Linked DNA regions of Ovis aries. The protein of the gene in region 1 purifies or fractionates together with the protein of each later gene. This does not show direct contact. Links are inferred from orthologs where the notes say so. Each region holds a gene or a part of one and is shown in the gene's direction. Other genes may lie near its edges. The genes, in order: EXOC7 and EXOC6B.

What was found.
Region 2: the proteins of EXOC7 (region 1) and EXOC6B purify together in Homo sapiens (affinity purification with mass spectrometry; 3 studies listed by BioGRID and IntAct, with this or other methods). This does not show direct contact. The link is inferred for Ovis aries from reciprocal best matches to the Homo sapiens genes EXOC7 and EXOC6B.

What each region holds. Positions count from the first base shown.
Region 1 is NC_056064.1:54,918,054-54,926,461, forward strand, and holds the end of EXOC7 (exocyst complex component 7), read left to right. Parts: intron 1-203; coding exon 204-356; intron 357-577; coding exon 578-676; intron 677-1,037; coding exon 1,038-1,100; intron 1,101-1,355; coding exon 1,356-1,422; intron 1,423-2,151; coding exon 2,152-2,190; intron 2,191-2,923; coding exon 2,924-2,989; intron 2,990-3,281; coding exon 3,282-3,402; intron 3,403-3,619; coding exon 3,620-3,715; intron 3,716-4,466; coding exon 4,467-4,530; intron 4,531-4,720; coding exon 4,721-4,762; intron 4,763-4,862; coding exon 4,863-4,996; intron 4,997-5,243; coding exon 5,244-5,346; 3' UTR 5,347-5,417; downstream 5,418-8,408. Other genes in the region: ZACN (zinc-activated ligand-gated ion channel), read right to left, coding at 6,365-6,555, 7,188-7,352, 7,517-7,724, 7,838-7,962. UniProt on the Homo sapiens protein: Component of the exocyst complex involved in the docking of exocytic vesicles with fusion sites on the plasma membrane.
Region 2 is NC_056056.1:94,827,944-94,836,865, reverse strand, and holds the start of EXOC6B (exocyst complex component 6B), read left to right. Parts: upstream 1-3,168; 5' UTR 3,169-3,302; coding exon of another isoform or gene 3,303-3,415; intron 3,416-8,922. UniProt on the Homo sapiens protein: Component of the exocyst complex involved in the docking of exocytic vesicles with fusion sites on the plasma membrane.

The sequences.
Region 1 (8,408 bases):
TGAGAGCTATCCCTGCAGAAGCTTGAGTCTGGGCCAGGTTCCTAGCCCTTAACTCCAGCCACTGCCTCCACCCCGATCCTGGGGCCTCTGAACTGGGTGATCAGAGGCACACACCTCCTCACACCCTTCCAGGTCCCCTCACTGGCCATGGGAGCCGGCTGGCTGCCCCTCCCCTGAGCCCTCCCCCTGCCCCGCTCTCTCAGGACGCCCTGGACGGGCTCATGCTAGAAGGCGAGAACATTGTGGTGGCCGCCCGCAAGGCCATCATCCGCCACGACTTCTCAGCCGTGCTCACTGTCTTCCCCATCTTGCGGCACCTCAAGCAGACCAAGCCTGAGTTTGACCAGGTGCTCCAGGTACGTGGGGGTGGGGGGGGCCCTTGGGGATGCTGCCTAGCAGGGCCTCCCAGGAGAACTGCATTCTCTGCTCAGAGTGGTGGGCAGCGGCAGCTTCCTCAGGGCCCTGGGTGGGTGGAGGCACTCTCAGGGGAATGAGGAGAAGAGACAGTCCCCGGGGCGGGGGGCTGGGAAGGAGCAGGGCTCCGGAGCCCTGTGCAGCCCTGTGGCTACATCCTCAGGGCACAGCCGCCAGCACCAAGAACAAGCTGCCCAGCCTCATCACTTCCATGGAGACTGTGGGAGCCAAAGCGCTGGAGGACTTTGCCGACAACATCAAGGTGCCCTTCCTCTGTTCACGCCACCCAGGCCGGCAGGCGGGGCTGCAGGCAGGGCCACCTGCGACCGGCCTCAGGAACTCCTGAGAGCAGGCCTCCAAGTGGGTTGGGCCTGCCCTGCAGGGAAGCCAGCCAGCCGTGCTGCTGGTCTCCTGTCAGTACCCACGGGCCTCCCTTTCTTTCCCAGAGGCCCCCACTTGAGGCATCAAGCTCCTTTAGGTCCCTCTTGCTCGTTTTTTGTGCCGGATGGGGTGTCCTGACACTTGTCTGCCAGGAGGTGGTGCTGTGGGCCCACAGACGGGTGCAAGGTTGGCTGGGGCCTCCTTAGGAGCTGTTTCAGGGACTCAGGCTGTCTGTCCCACAGAACGACCCCGACAAGGAATACAACATGCCCAAGGATGGCACCGTGCACGAGCTCACGAGCAACGTAGGTGCTGCTGGGGACTCCTGGGGCGGGCGGGGGGCGCAGGTGGCAGGATGGGCTGGAGGCGCTAAGTGCCCTCTGCAGACGGGGCCTTTCCCTGGAGGCCAGACCCACAGGGTGAAGCAGCAAGTTTGCTCCCACCCGTTTCGCCTGCCCTCACCTGTCTGGAACGGTCAGAGGGGCTGCATTGTGGGGGCTGATCCAGCCTTTGGGTCCTGCCCTTAACCTTCTTCTTGGCCCCGTTTTCTCCCCACACAGGCCATCCTCTTCCTGCAGCAGCTCCTGGACTTCCAGGAGACGGCAGGTGCCATGCTGGCCTCCCAAGGTACTTGACACCTCCCAGTGGGGCCCCCCACCCCATTCCTCCCTCCAGGCTAGAGACATGGGGTTAGCCCCTCCCCAGGGGGCACCCTCCTCTCTGGGTGAGGAGATTCCCCCCACCCTGGGTGGGTGGAAAGGAGTCGTGGCCTGTGACGGGACCTCCCTCAAGCCTCTTGGACCATCAGACCCAGCATCAGGAGAGCAGGGTCTGACCACCTGCCCCGGCCTCCGTCCCCCCGGCTCCCTCCACCGTCCTCGCCCTGGAGCGCGGACCCCACTTGTCTGAAAGTGTCTTTCGTGCCCCGCTCCCGCCTCCTCCTGCACTTCCCCACCTCCTCTTGTGTTGCCTGTCCTCCTACTTGGTCTCACACTGCTGACCCATTGAGCGGGCTCGGCTGGCATCTCAGGGCCAGCCTGGTGTCTTCCCGTGACTGGGGCTGGGAAGTCAGCACGTGGGGAGGCGTGTGCTGAGACCCAGCCCTGGGCCTCCCCTGTACCCCGCATCCTGGGGGCAGCCTCTGGCCTGTCGTTCTCCTGATGTCCACTTTCCAGTGTGTCCCTGGCCTGCGGGGGTCCAGCCTGGGCTTTCCTGCTGTCTGTGTCCCGGTGTCGAGGGGCGTGGGCTGCTTGGCTCGGGTGTGGCGGCCGTCTCTAACCTGTTTTGCACTTTGCATCTTTCTCCCTCCTTTGTCTCCCCCCTTCCCCTCTGTGCGCACTGCCTCTCACTGCGTAGTTCTTGGGGACACATACAATATTCCTTTAGACCCCCGAGGTAAGCAGCAGGGCTCGGCAGCCCCATCCTACCCCTCTGAAGCCCCGTGGGTGAGGTTCCCTGGGGACAGAGGCCCCTGGACAGGCTCAGGGCCCCAGTCCGAGCAGGGTCAGAGGGGCACGGGTTCCTTCAGGGTGCTCCTGACCCCCTCAGCTCTCTGACCACCAGTTTCTGTCCCTGGGCTTCTGCAGACAGCATCCTGCTGTGCCCAGCACCCTGACTACACCCTTTGGGCAGGTCCAGCACCTCCCTGTCCCCTTCCTCCCCTGTCCACTCCCCACCCCCCTGGCCTTCTGCTCTGTGTGGGCAGGACACCTCTGGTCTGGTAGAGGAGGTTATGGGTAGTGGGGGAGAAGGTGGAGAGGCCATCAGGGGCCTATTCTAAAACTCTGCTGCTAACAAATGGGATATGTGGGTCTTGTAGGTACCACCCAGCTTGGGTGGGGGGAAGGGGCTGTCCCCACGCCCATCCTGCCCGTCTTCCTCCTGGTCCTTGGGGGCCAGCTCATTAACCCTACCACCCAGGACCATGGAGGGGCCTCCCCGGATTCCAGAAGAGTCCCAGGAAGCGCTCCCCTCAGCTGGAAGGGAGCCCCGTAGCTCAGGACATACCCAGCTCTGACTAAGGAAGGCTCCTCCCAGGGTTTCCCCAGCTGTTCCCCTGGCCAAGGGGAGACCAGAGAGGGTCTCGGCTGCTACCACCGCCGCGGTAACAGGACTTCTCCTCTCGCAGAGACCAGCTCCTCCGCCACCAGCTACAGCTCCGAGTTCAGCAGGCGTCTGCTGAGCACGTACATCTGTAAGTGGCCCCTGCCAGCCAGCAGCCCTGGTGCCTGGCCTCCCTGCCTTTTCCCTTCCTTCTCCTCTCTGTGTGCTCCTGCTAGTCCTGGGCCCGCTTCTGAGGGACCCCACCCTGCCCCGACCTTTAGAATTGCAACCTGATCTCTGGTTGGGGGATTGTGGGCGCTGGGCCAAGGACTGCTGAGTCTGGTGGGGTCTTGGGTCCAGGAGGGACAAGGAGCAACGAGTGGGAGTTGGTTTGCGGATCAGACTGCCGTGGTTGGTAGGTAACCACGTCCTTCCCTGTGCAGGTAAAGTCCTAGGCAACCTGCAGTTGAACCTGCTGAGCAAATCCAAGGTGTATGAGGACCCGGCTCTGAGCGCCATCTTCCTGCACAACAACTACAACTACATCCTCAAGGCCCTGGAGAAGTAAGTGGCCGCGGGGGCTGCTCTGGGGCTCACCTGCCTCTGCCCGGCCTCCTGGGGATGGCCATGCCCCCTGGTGTCCCGGTGGAGAGGGCACCCCTTCACCCTAGGCGGGCCCAGGACCCAGGGAGGTGGGAGGCAGGCCCCGTCGAGGTTGCTGCGAAGGCCAGCAGCCTGTGGGACCTCCTCTCTCTCCTCCCGCCCCCCGCTCCCACCCCAGGTCCGAGCTGATCCAGCTGGTGGCCGTGACCCAGAAGACTGCCGAGCGCTCCTACCGGGAGCACATCGAGCAGCAGATCCAGACCTACCAGCGCAGGTGGGGAGCCCCCCACCTCGACCTGCATACCCACCACTCACGCTTCCTTCCCAGAGCCTGGGGACGCTGGGCGGGGTCAGTGGTGGGGAACTGCTGCCCAGTGGACCCCAATCCTCTGCTTTTTAATCACATTTGTTGGGGGTGGGAGGCCCCCTCCCACTTGCTACTCCTTGGCAGGGAAGGGGCACTTTGCCAGTCTGTTCAAGGGTAGTCTGCCAAGGGTGACAGCTAAGAATGGTTGACTGTCAGAGATGTGGGTAACTTTTTGGCCGAGCAAAGAGCAAGGTCGCAAGGGCCCTTGAACTTGGCCGAGCCTCGCCCTCCGGACCTGTCTCTGGTCCTCTCCTCCTGTTTCTTAGTTCGTGTGTCTCTCTCCCTTCGGGTGTTTCTTCCCCGTGGCTGTATCTCCCTCTTCCTTCTTGTTTATCTGCTCCTCCTTTCTCATCTGCTTCTCCATCTAAATTGGCTGTGATGCTGACATGAACTGCAGTCGGCAGTGCTTAATCAATCTATTGAGTGCTCTGTTTCCTGTCCTTAATTTTAAAAGCGAGCAGCTTGAACATTTTTATTCCCAAGGGGGGAGAAAAAAAATCTCAGCTGTGTTTTGCTCAGTTTTGACCCAAACCGATCCCTGCCCTCACCACCTACCCCAGTAGATGAAGAGATTTTTGAAAAAACAAAACCCCAGGAAAGGGAGCAGGGGCCTGAGGCTGTCCCTTTTCTGCCCTGTGTTTCCCTCCCTGCCTCGCAGTTGGTTAAAGGTGACTGACTACATTGCCGAGAAGAATCTACCTGTGGTCCAGCCTGGAGTCAAGGTGAGCTGAAGGGGAGGGGAGGGATGGCTAGTGGATATGGTGCTCTATGTTGTCTCTCTGGGAAAAAAAGTAAACAACCAGGATGAGAAAGCAAGGATGCCTGTGGCCCCGGGGGCAGAAGGGAAGGAGCCAGGGGCAGGGCGCCTCTGCTCTGAGCTCCACTTTGTCTGCTATCTCCCCCGGCCCCCAGCTTCGGGACAAGGAGCGGCAGATGATCAAGGAGCGTTTTAAGGTAAATCAGGATCTTCTCCCCTCCATCGATTGATGTGTAGCAACACAGACCCAAACATTTGTCCCTGGATCACTGCTATTTCCCCCTGTTTGGTGGCCAGGGCTTCAACGATGGCCTTGAGGAGTTGTGCAAGATCCAGAAGGCCTGGGCTATTCCCGACACAGAGCAGAGGGACAAGATCCGCCAAGCTCAGAAAAGCATCGTTAAGGAGACCTACGGGGCCTTTCTAAACAGGTGAGCCCTTCATCTCTGCCTTCCCAGCCCCACGCTTCCCTCTGCCCCAACTCAAAGACCTCTGGGCTCTTTTCTTTGAGAAAACGTGGAGAGAGGGGGTGGGTTCAGGTGGCAGACCCAGCACCTATGGCTTTGGTGTGGGGCCAGACCAAAACACGACTCGGGGCACACCGTCAGGAGGGCCTTAGGCTGAGGCAGGGCTAGGGGCGGGCTCAGCCTGCACCCCCTGACCTTAGCACCTGGGCAGGTATGGCAGCGTGCCCTTCACCAAGAACCCGGAGAAGTACATCAAGTACCGCGTGGAGCAGGTGGGGGACATGATCGATCGCCTCTTTGACACCTCGGCCTGAGCTGCCACTGCCCCTGCCTGGCTCTGCCAGAGCAGCTGTGTTACTGGACAGATAAACAGGTGTGGACTTGCCTCTGGGCCGGGTGAGTGTGGCATCCTTTGCGACAGGGGCATTGCTCTGCCACCCAGCCAGGAGCCCTGCCCCCGAGTCATTGAGTCCTGGTCTGCCCTTCCTCTCGCAGCCCCCATTCCCTACCCAAGCAGCGCTCTCCCAGAGCTTTGGGGTTTGTCACCCTGACCACAGCCTGCAGCAGCCACAGGATGGCTTCAAGATGAGAAGGACAGAGAAGGGAGACAGAGGTCTGTGCCTACAGCTGCCTTGCGGGACGGGAGGAGGAGTGCTGAGTAGCCCTGCCTCCAGGCCAGCTCGGAACTGGTGTGGTGAATGCCCTTCAGCCCAGGCCTGAGGTTCAGGCTCAGGGGAGCAGGCCATACTGCAGCCCCAGGCCCTGCAGAAAAGCAAGGAGGCTGGACTGCTCTCAGACTCAGTGCAGAGAATGCCTGCCCCATTCCCACAGTCCTGCTGCCTGGGGGGTTCTGTCCCCAAGGTGCACCCGGTGGCTGGAGTAGAAGTGCCCTCCCTGCCCTCTGAGCACTCGGCCGGAGCTCACAGGAGGGATCCTAACCGTCCCGGGCCTGTCTCGGGGGCTCCAGTGCTCCTGGCCCGGGGCTAAGCGGCAGCAGTTGCTGAAGGAGCAGTTAGGCAGTGTTTGGGGACTGGGGGACCAGCGGACAGTGGTGAGACAGTCTGAAGCAGAATGGGGCTCAGGGACGTGAGATGGGGCCCCACCTACTCCAACAAAAGTAAACAGCGGAACGTGACAGAGACAGACCCCAGAGGTGCCCTTGCCCTGGGGTGATGTGTTTATTCCACACTCCTTGCTTACGTGCCAACAAGAAGGAGAGCTTGGGGTGGCTGGGGGTCCTCCAGGCTGAGGGAAGAGAGTCCACCTCCCTCCCCGTCCAGAGGCCCCGTCACAGCCCTCGCCCCCCAGGTCTGCAGCCCTGGGCCTTGCCCGTTACAGCCTGTGCTGCCCGCCGTGGGGTGCGGCTGCTCCAGGGGCGGGTTCCGACTTGCATGTCGCCCATATCCAGAGCACAATGAAGATGATCTGGCTACACGCCACCCCTACCACATACACATGGAAGAAGATGTGGTCAGCAGCCTCCGCCCAGCTCCTTCGGGACCCCTTCCGTGCTCCAGGGGCTTCTGTGTGGGCAGGAAGAGCGAAAGAAGACAGATTGCACGCTCTGCGTGTGCACAAGGGTGAGCCCCAGAGGGTGCTAGTCTGCCCCCCTTCATCACATTCACAGCTAAGGAACATTTGGGTCTAGCCCCTTTTAGATCATCGTGAGTTGAAGAAATGCCCCCTGAGAGAGGCTGTGCAAGGCACAGGGTTATCCTGTGCTAAGTCACTTCAGTCGTGTCCGACTCTTTGTGACCCCATGGACTGTAGCCTGCCAGGCTCCTCTGTCCACGGGATTCTCCGGGCAAGAATACTGGAGTGGGTTGCCATACTCTCCTCCAGGGGGTCTTCCCGACCCAGGGATTGAACCCATGTCTCTTAAGTCTCCTGCATTGGCAGACGGGCTCTATATCCCTAGTGCCACCTGGGAAGCCTAGAGAGTCTGAAGTCACTGGGCCTTGGGGAGGCTGATTCTGCTCCCTGCTCCAGACCTGCTGCTTGTGAGCACAGCCATGGTGGAGTCCGGGCAGCAGAGCCGGCCGAGGTGGGTGCAGGAACCTCTAAGGAGCCCGGTGACCTGCAGCCCCAGTCTGCCAGCTCTGCCCCTAGGCCTCCTCCTCCACCCCGCCAGGAAGGGGCCCCAGCCCCTGCCCACCTTCAGGGTTAGGCCCTGGCTTCCCGCGGTTGTGCTGCTCCCCATTCAGCGCTGGAATGGGGCTGTCCTCTGCCCTGAGCTTGCCCCGGGCCAGGAGCCCGGTCAACAGCACAGTCTCGGTGGTGCTGACAAAGAGCAGCAGCAGCAGGATGGTGAAGTAGTAAACTGGAGACGGGGTGGAGAAGAGCGGTCAGGAGCCAGGCCTGGCCTCGCGGGCCCCAGGACCTGAGCAGAGGCACCCTGGCTCTGGTGACAGCAGGCAGAGGCGGAGTGAGACAGGCCCAGCACAGAGCAGCCCGGACCCAGGCCGGGCGAGGGCAGGGCCTTACCTAACAGGGGGTTGCAGGAGGAGGAGCTGGGCAGGGCCTGTATCAGGGAGGAGTGGAAGACGAGGTAGCTCAGAAGCAGGGTCACCTTGTAGGCGATGCGCTCAGTGTGGAGGGGCAGCAGCCCCCCGCACAGGTCAGCCAACAGCAGCGCCTCCCCAGGGACCAGGAGCGTTAAGATGGCCTTTAGCGCTGTGTTCTGCAGGCGCAACTGGAAGGAAGACAGGGTGTTCCAGGGAGTGGGCATAGAAGGGTGAGGTCATGGCCTCTGACTATGCATCCCCAACACCCGCCTCAGCCCTCAGTAGCCACCTCCCAACTCACCGTCACCTGGAAGCAGGGTACCAGGTGCTGGGATGGGATTTCGGTTTTCAGATCCTGAACCACGAACTCCCTCTTGACACTCACAATCTCATTCACTGCGTGGACCTGGAACTCCAGCTCCCTCACTGAAGGGAGAGGGGTGAGAATGGTGAACTCAGAAAGGAATACCCTGTGCCTGCATCTTTCTTGGCAGTAGGGGCAGGGACGGACTGGAGCCCAGGGATGATGGAGCCCTCTGATGGTTGCTGGGGGCAGACTTGGAAGCTGGTCTGTCCAAGGGCTTTCCAAACTGATTTTGCAATACCCCAAGTTTTCTCCACTTAGAAGAAGGGCCATCTCAGATTCATAAAATGAATTTTCATTGTAAAAATAAACGCACTTCGCACCACTTCACAGAGGGGCGGGGGACATGGTCACAAACTCACTCACTGGTATATCATCTCACACCTGAAATACTAGGATTCGTGGGGCGGCAGCTGTGGTATTTCCCAGAGGGGAGGGATGGAAGGGAAGGTGGGACTACTCTGCTGAGTTGAACATCACATGCTGGGTTTGTGGGATAATCAGTGGG
Region 2 (8,922 bases), on another chromosome or scaffold:
ACGTACTGATGAAGCCTAGCTTGAAGGATTTTGAGCAGAACCTTGCTAGCATGTGAAATGAATGCAATTATACTGTAGTTTAAAATCCTTTGACATTGCTCTTCTTTGGGATTAGAGAGAAAACTGACATTTTCCAGTCCTATGGCCACTTCTGAGTTTTCCAAAGTTGTTGATATATTGACTGCAGTATTTTAACAGTATCATCTTTTAGGATTTGAAATAGCTCAGCTAGAATTCCATTACCTTCACTAGCTTTGTTCATAGTAATGCTTCCCAGGTGGCTCAGTGGTAAAGGATCCACCTTTCAAGCAGGAGATGGAAGAGAATGTGGGCTTGATTCCTGGGTTGCGAAGATCTCCTGGAGAAGGAAATGGCAATCCACTCCATTATTGCCTGGAAAATCCCATGGACAGAGAAGCCTGGCAGGCTCCAGGCAGTGGAGCTGCAGAAGAGGGGAATAAGACTTAATGACGAAACAAAAATAGATGCTTCTTAAGGCCAACTTGACTTCACACCACAGGATGTCTGGCTCTAGATGAGTGACCACACGATCAGGGTTATCTGTGTCATTAAGACCTTTCTTGTATCAGTTCAGTTCAGTACAGTTGCTCAGTCATGTCCGACTCTTCGCCACCCCATGAATCGCAGCACGCCAGGCCTCCCTGTCTATCACCAACTCCTGGAGTTCACTCAGACTCACATCCATCGAGTTGGTGACGCCATCCAGCGATCTCATTCTCTGTCGTCCCCTTCTCTTCCTGCCCTCAATCCCTCCCAGCATCAGGGTCTTTTCCAATGAGTCAGCTCTTCACATGAGGTGGCCAAAGTACTGGAGCTTCAGCTTTAGCATCATTCCTTCCAAAGAACACCCAGGACTGATCTCCTTCTGAATGGACTGGTTGGATCTCCTTGCAGTCCAAGGGACTCTCAAGAGTCTTCTCCAACACCACAGTTCAAAAGCATCAGTTCTTTAGTACTCAGCTTTCTTCACAGTCCAACTCTCACATCCATACATGAACACTGGAAAAACCATAGCCTTGACTAGATGGACCTTTGTTGGCAAAGCAATGTCTCTGCTTTTTAATATGCTGTCTAGGTTGGTCATGACAAGGAGTAAGCGTCTTTTAATTTCATGGCTGCAATCACCATCTGCAGTGATTTTGGAGCCCAGAAAAATAAAGTCTGACACTGTTTCTACTGTTTCCCCATCTATTTCCCATGAAGTGATGGGACCAGATGCTATGATCTTTGTTTTCTGAATGCTGAGCTTTAAGCCAACTTTTTCCCTCTCCTCTTTCACCGTCATCAAGAGGCTCTTTAGTTTCTCTTCACTTTCTGCCATAAGGGTGGTGTCATCTGCATATCTGAGGTTATTGATATTTCTCCCAGCAATCTTGATTCCAGCTTGTGCTTCTTCCAGTCCTGCGTTTCTCATGATGTATTCTGCATAGAAGTTAAATAAGCAGGGTGACAATATATAGCCTTGACGTACTCCTTTTCCTATTTGGAACCAGTCTGTTGTTCCACGTCCAGTTCTAACTGTTGCTTCCTGACCTGCATATAGGTTTCTCAAAAGGCAGGTCAGGTGGTCTGTATTCCCATCTCTTTCAGAATTTTTCACAGTTTATTGTGATCCACACAGTCAAAGGCTTTGGCATAGTCAATAAAGCAGAAATAGATGTTTTTCTGGAACTCTCTTACTTTTTCCATGATCCAGCAGATGTTGGCAATTTGATCTCTGGTTCCTCTGCCTGTTCTAAAACCTACTTGAACATCTGGAAGTTCATGGTTCACGTATTGCTGAAGCCTGGCTTGGAGAATTTTGAGCATTACTTTACTAGCATGTGGGATGAGTGCATTTGTGCCAGTAGTTTGAGCATTCTTTGGCCTTTCCTTCCTTTGGGATTGGAATGAAAACTGACCTATCCAGTCCTGTGGCCACTGCTGAGTTTTCCAAGTTTGCTGGCATATTGAGTGCAGCACTTTCACAGCATCATCTTTCAGGATTTGAAACAGCTCAACTGGAATTCCATCACCTCTACTAGCTTTGTTCGTAGTGATGCTTTCTAGCGCCCACTTGACTTCACCTTCTTGTATAGTTCGTGTATTTTTGCCACTTCTTCATATCTTCTGCTTTTGTTAGGTCCTTATGGTTTCTGTCCTTTTCGTGCTCATCCTTTCAAGAAATGTTCCTTTGATATTGCTAATTTTCTTGAAGAGATCTCTAGTCTTTGATCTGTATTTAAAAAGAGATCCAAGATGCTTTTGATGCAGGTGGTTGTTCGCCCAGTTGAGCCATTAGAATAAAGTACACATTTCTGTTCCTGGTGTTCCTCTTCCAAGATGCTCTTCTAGCACCATCTCTCATTGCTAATTCTCTATACACCAGTGCAAATGAAGTTCTTTCTGGTTTTCTAGGTGCTTCTCACACCTTCCAATCACACCTTTTGAAATGTTCAGGCATAGTCTGTCAATGAATTCTTCACAGACAAAAGTGCTTGCAGTGTTTGATTCTCAGAACTTGCTTAGAGGTACATTACACCTTATCTGTTAGTTTTGGGTATTTTAGTTTTGGGCTTTTCGTCTTTCATAACTTGTAAGATATCTGTTCAGAGAAACCCAGTTAATCCTTCCTTAATATTCGTGCCTAAAGAGGCTTTTGGACTTTGAGGCAAGGGTCTTCAACAAGAGCTGTCTGACAATCGCCGTTGCATATGAAGTTCCTAATTGTTCTTTCTTACAGTAGAACTCCCCCCCCCAAAAAAAAATTTTATTTATTTGGCTGCACCAGGTCATGGTTGCAGCACATGGGATCTAATTCCTTGACCAGGGAGTGAACCCAGGCAGCCTGCCTTGGGATTACGGAATCTTAGCCACTGGATATAGTGGAGCTCTTTTCTAAAAATTTAAATTTATTTATTTTAATTGGAGGCTAATTACTTTACAATATTGTTTGGTTTTGCCATACATCAACATGAATCCGCCACGGTGTACACGTGTTCCCAATCCTGAACCCCCCTCCCGCTTCCCTCTATAGTGGAGCTTTTAACAGAAGTTTGTGGCTTCAATGAATGATGTGTGAAATCAGGCTTTCTTCCAGAGAACTACAAATCCCAGCGGGCATCGCGCGGAACGTCCGCGGACGTGGTGATGCTAGGGGGCGTGCCCAGTCTGAGGGAGGGGTCGTCCTGCGGGTGGCCCGAGGCTTAGGATCCCCGGGAGCCTGGAGTGAGAGAGAGAGATTGAGAGCGAAAGGTGAGCGGAGCTGAGGGAGGGGACGCGCTGCGGGGCTCCCCGAGTCTATGGAGCGGGTTAAGATGGCGGAGGCGGAGAGCCTGGAGACAGCGGCGGAGCACGAACGGATTCTTCGAGAGATCGAGAGCACCGACACGGCCTGCATCGGGCCCACGCTCAGGTACCCTGGGTACCGGGGCCACAGAGGGGTGGGCACGGGCGGGACCCGGGAGGAGGCTCCCTCGGGACTGTGCGCCTGGCCGGCCTCTTGCAGGGCCAGCGCCGGCCCCTCCCTTCGGAGAACCCGGCGAGCGACCTCCACCCTCGGCAGGGCAGGTCCCCCTCCGTAGCCCCGCAGACCTGGCGTGGGGTTCCTTCCCGACCGTCGGCGCCGGCAGCCCCGTTACCCTGTAGGCTCCTACTGCCTCCCTCAGGGCTGGGGCAGCCTTCGTTCTCCCTCCGAGGCTGGCCCGGCGCGGGCAGCCGGAGCGCGCCGGACAGATGGTGGCTCTTAGGAGAGGGTCCCCCTGAGGACATCACCCTTCTGCCCCAGACTCAGGTCCTGCTCTTCAGGCAAAACAGAATTCACCCCACGGTCTGTTGCTCGGAGAGCAAACTCTTACCTCTAAAAATCACAGTCACTTCTCAGAAACGAGTTCCTGAAAATCCTAGGCCTGGAAGGAAGGAAGTTTCAACCCGCGCGCCCGTCTCCTGGGAGCGAGTACTTGCTGAGCACTGTCAGGAGGACGACCTCCCCAAAGGTCAGATTCCTGGTGCTCATCGCCGAAAAGACGTTATCTCCCTCCGTTCCCCGTGACACTTACTTTGCCCACACACCCCCATTTCACTGGAGACGTCAAACTAAGCCGCCACCTACCTCAACTTATTTAACAAACTTAGCTACAACTTACTGTGTACAGCGCAAGCCATTTATTAAGAGATTTACAAGTATAACTTATTCAAACCGCAAAACAGCCCTATTAGGTAGGTACTGTTATTACCCTCATTTTACAGATGAAGCCCAAAGAGGTTAAGTGACTTGCCCAAGGTCACAGGGAACATAAAGCAGGGGAGTCGCGATTCCTGCTCATGCATTCTGGATCCAGAGTATGCATTCTTAACCCCTCTTGTTCTGCTTCAGTTGGGGATCACCATCTATCCGTACTTTCTGCTAATTACTCACCCAAGCGCAAACTACCTTTCTCTTTCCCCTCAGTGTATTAGTGCCCTAGAACCAACACAGCGTCCTTCCTGTGGCACCTTCTGATCGCCATGCAGCCAACAGAGAGAATGATCTTACCCACCTCGTCCAGTCTTGGGGCGCTATTCCTCCCTTCATAAAGATTATGACTCACTGCTTGTGTTTTTCACGGGGAGAAGTTGCCTCATGAAAGTGGTTGAAAGAGGGGCAGGCTGCGGACTTCGCTTCTCATCTCCACCTCCACAGCTTCCTTCTCCAGGGCACACGGTTCCCCCAGTGCCATCCCTGGACATGGGGCATGACCATCCTCAGTAGTCTGCTTTTTGTCCCTGACTGCAGTATGATCATGACTGTCACAGTCCTCTCTTTTCATATTTTCTTGAGCTCTTAAAGGTGAATGACCCTTATTCCATTATCTTTACTTTTATAAAAACTAAGATTACTTACTGGTATTCTATGTACATTACTATTGGTTATTAATATTTAGTTTTTGTAAAATGAAATGTTATTAGACTTACAGAGGATGCTGTTTGAGTATTCTACTGAGAGATTTGGCTGCTGAGCTATATAGCTGGCAGCCAAGCAAAGCTCCCACTGGAATATTTGGGATTACCAGAGTTTTTAGGAAGGATTTTTCATCAGAATACCATTACTATTGTCTTGAGTTGGTTGTTTTCAGTTGCTGTTGTTCTTGGTTTATATGATAAATGACTTAATTTAGTGTTATCAGTTTAGTTTGTTGTGATTTATTATGTTAGCCCTCCACTGAATAATAATGCATATTTGTTCAGCTGAATTTTAGCCTGTAATTTTCCATTATATTGACTGAAGAATATATACATTATGTTTAAAATGTTATCCATTTTCCCTAAAATTTGCTGCATTATCACTGAACTCCATTGGAAGGTGGTGATTTTTTTTTTTTTTTGGGCTAGATGAAGTAGAGATCTTTTGTCCTAAGGGGATGTGGTAAGAAAAGTTTTGAGAACCACTGCACTATCCTACTAGTTTTATTTTCTGTTGTTGACTCCCTTTTTTCTTTATCAGGGACTTTTTATTTTTGGCATTGTCCTGTCTCTGATGGATAACCCTAAATCTTAACTATCAGACCCAAGATTCAATCATGTGAACATCCTACAAAACAAGTAATATCCACTGTCTTTGTCTTCAGTCTAGCTTGTTCCTGCCCGTGTTCATAGGAGATGATCTCATCTTTCTTCCGTATCCCATGCAGAGGCAGCAACATGCATAGACTTGGTGTTTCAGATCTCATACTTTAACCCTGGGTGCATGTTGATAATCACTATCTCGTGGTTTTCCATCACAGTCAGTAAACAGGTATGCTAAAGGCAATAGGCTCTTCTTCCTACCATTACCCTCAACTGTAAATCTCAGCCTCTATCCCTTTTCATAGTCTTTCCTGTTTCTTCTGTCTTTTGAGGCATTTTTAAGGCTCTTGGTTCTTACTTGTCCCTGAGATAGGTGTTCTAACTGCAGAGGAATTAAATAATAATAATTTGTGGTACCAAATTATTCTTCCAATTTTATCCCTTTTTGTTTGAGGAGCCACAATGGCTTGACTTTTTCATTATATGACTATCCTTATTTTAATCTTGAAATAGTACTTGCAGTATTAGTTGATTACTGTTTATCATAAGGAGTGACTTTCTTTATTTATTGTAATTCTAAAAGTCCCAAGCTTATCCATATATACAGAGGCTGTTGCCTAGAAGATTCTTTTGGGGAAGCAGCCATCTCTTCTCTGTCTTCATCTCGAAAATTATTTTGTTAGCTACAAGTCCTAATTTTGCAGATGAGGAAAGAGGCCCATTAGATGTAAGGGCATGTTTTGTTTTTAAAATGATATTGATTCTTGCTTTGTAGTGCTAATGCACTGCAGAAATTGATCACAAAATATTGTGCTGCTAATACACTGCAAAAATTGATCACAGAATATTGGTCACAAATCACTCATGAACAATAGCTCTATATTCTCATTTTTCAAATCACATCTATGTATCTCTAGTCTTCTTTCATATCACTTATTCAAAATAAGCTGTTTCCTCACTTTGCTCTCTGGGTACTGGCAATTAATATTGTCTTAATTGTTATTTGAGATTTTAAAACAGACTTTCAAATTTAGCAGTGAAATACTTTGCCTTTAAAACAGTAGCTTTATTGAGATATTCATATACTGTACAGTTCACCAATTGAAACTGTACAATTCAATGTTTTTTTTTTTTATCGAATTCACAGAATTGTGTAACAGTTACCACAATCTAATTTTAGAACATTTTCATCAGCCCTGAAAGAAACCCCATACCCATTAGCAGTCAGTCTTCATTCTGTCCCTTCCCCAGGCAGTCACTACTTTCTGTCTTCATGGGTTTGCCTGTTTTGTTCACTTTGTATAAATGGAATCATAGAACATTTTAAGGAGCTGCCAAACTCTGTAACAAAATGCATGCACTATTTTTTAGTCCCACTAGCAATGTATAAGGGCTCTAGTTTCTCCATATCCTTGTCAGCACTTGTTGCTATCTTTTTTTATTTTAGCCATCCCAGTGGATATGAAATTGTATCTCACTGTCATTTTGATTTGCATTTCTCTAATGGTTAATCTTTTCATGTGCTTAATAGTTATTTGTTTATGTTTTATGTTTTGTGTATTATGTTTTTTGGAGCAGTGCCTTCAGTTCCTTTGCTCAGTTTTAAATTGGATTATTTTTATTGTTGAGTTATAAGTGTTCTTTATATATTCTGGATATATCTTCTACCAGGAATAGGATTTGCAAATACTTTTTTCCATTCTTTTGGGTGGTTTTTTTCATTTTTCTTGATAGTATCACCTGCTGTACGAAAGTTTTAAATTTTGATATGAGGCCAGCATATCTAGTTTTTATTTTTTTGCTTGTGCTTTTGGTGTTGTATCTAGGTAACCTTTGCTTAACCCAAGATTATGAAGATTTGCTCCTAAGAGTTGTATAACTTTATTTCTACATCATGGTCTGTGATCCATTTGAGTTAATTTTTGTCTGTCATATAAGGAAGGGTGTCCAATTTCATTCTTTTGCATGGTGATGTGCAGTTTTTCCAGCATCATTTGTTGAGTGTCATTTTTTCTTATCCAGGTATATTTCTGGTTGACTTATTTTGTCTTTTTATCATGAAATTTATGTTCTTTATTTGTAGCAGCAGTGTAACCTTCAAGACCTTGTCATTGTGTTTATTGCACCTGCCTTGCTGCGTGTTCTCATCTGGGAAGAAGTTTGCTCTATTGTTTTCAGCTCACGATTTTCTCTTTTTAGCTTAGTTGCTGCCTTCCATTTCTAAGGGGCCGGTGTTGTAAGAATGATATTATTGCTATATTTGATCCTAGTAAAGCACTTGACTGTAGGGACTGAATCTTGTCTTACCATATGGAATGGTAGGTTTTAAGATTAACAAAGGGTATTAATGATAGAATATTATCTATTTGATATTTTTTTTAAATTACTTTACAATATTATATTGGTTTTGCCATACATTGACATGAATCCGCCACAGGTTCCCCATCCTGAACACCCCTCCCTCCTCCGATCTTTATCACTATTAAAACATTAAAAATTATGTCAACATTATAAAAATTTTGGAAGCTGTATTAGGAATTACTTGTACTAATGTAACATAGCTGCCGTTGTTCTGGTGCATTTCCTTTTAGATGCTTGCTTTATTTATTCTGTGGTTAAAAAATTGTATTTTTGGTATAGCAACAGTTTTCTCTCTTGCTTATTTGGTTGTGGAGGTGGTTTAGTTGCTAAGTTGTGACCTTTTCTTGTGACCCTAACCCACCAGGTTCCTCTGTCCCTGTCCATGTCTCTTGCATTGCAGACAGATTCTTCACTGCTGAGCCACCAGGGAAGCCCAAACTGTGTATAAAACTGCCTCTTCCAGAAAACAAATATGGGGAATATTTCCAAAAGCTCTTTTGCTGGATGTCATTTGATAATTAAATATGGCGAACTGACCTCCCCGCTTACTGCTTCTCTGCCTTTGGCCACATGACTTTGTTTTCCATCCTTTGGCCTCCCATTACCTGCTGCTGCTAAGTTGCTTCAGTCGTGTCCGACTCGGTGCGACCCCATAGACTGCAGCCCACCAGGCTCCTGTCCCTGGGATTCTCTAGGCAAGAACACTGGAGTGGGGTGCCCTTGCCTTCTCCACCATTACCTAAGTTTTACAAAATCCAGATAATCATAATCCTTGGTTGCTGACACTTTCTCGTTATTGGTCCCTGTATGGACCTCTTTAAGCAGTTAATTATTTTTGTAAGCAACTTACCACCTGAGTGGGCAATTTTTTTTCATCTTTAAATGGGGATACCACCTACATTGCAGGAACAGTATTAAAAAAAAGGAGATAAAGCATTCTTCATGGTACCTGCTAGGTGGTAGTAACTCTGATAGTGTGAGTCATATTCTGCCTTTTACCCTTGAGTTTGTAATGAG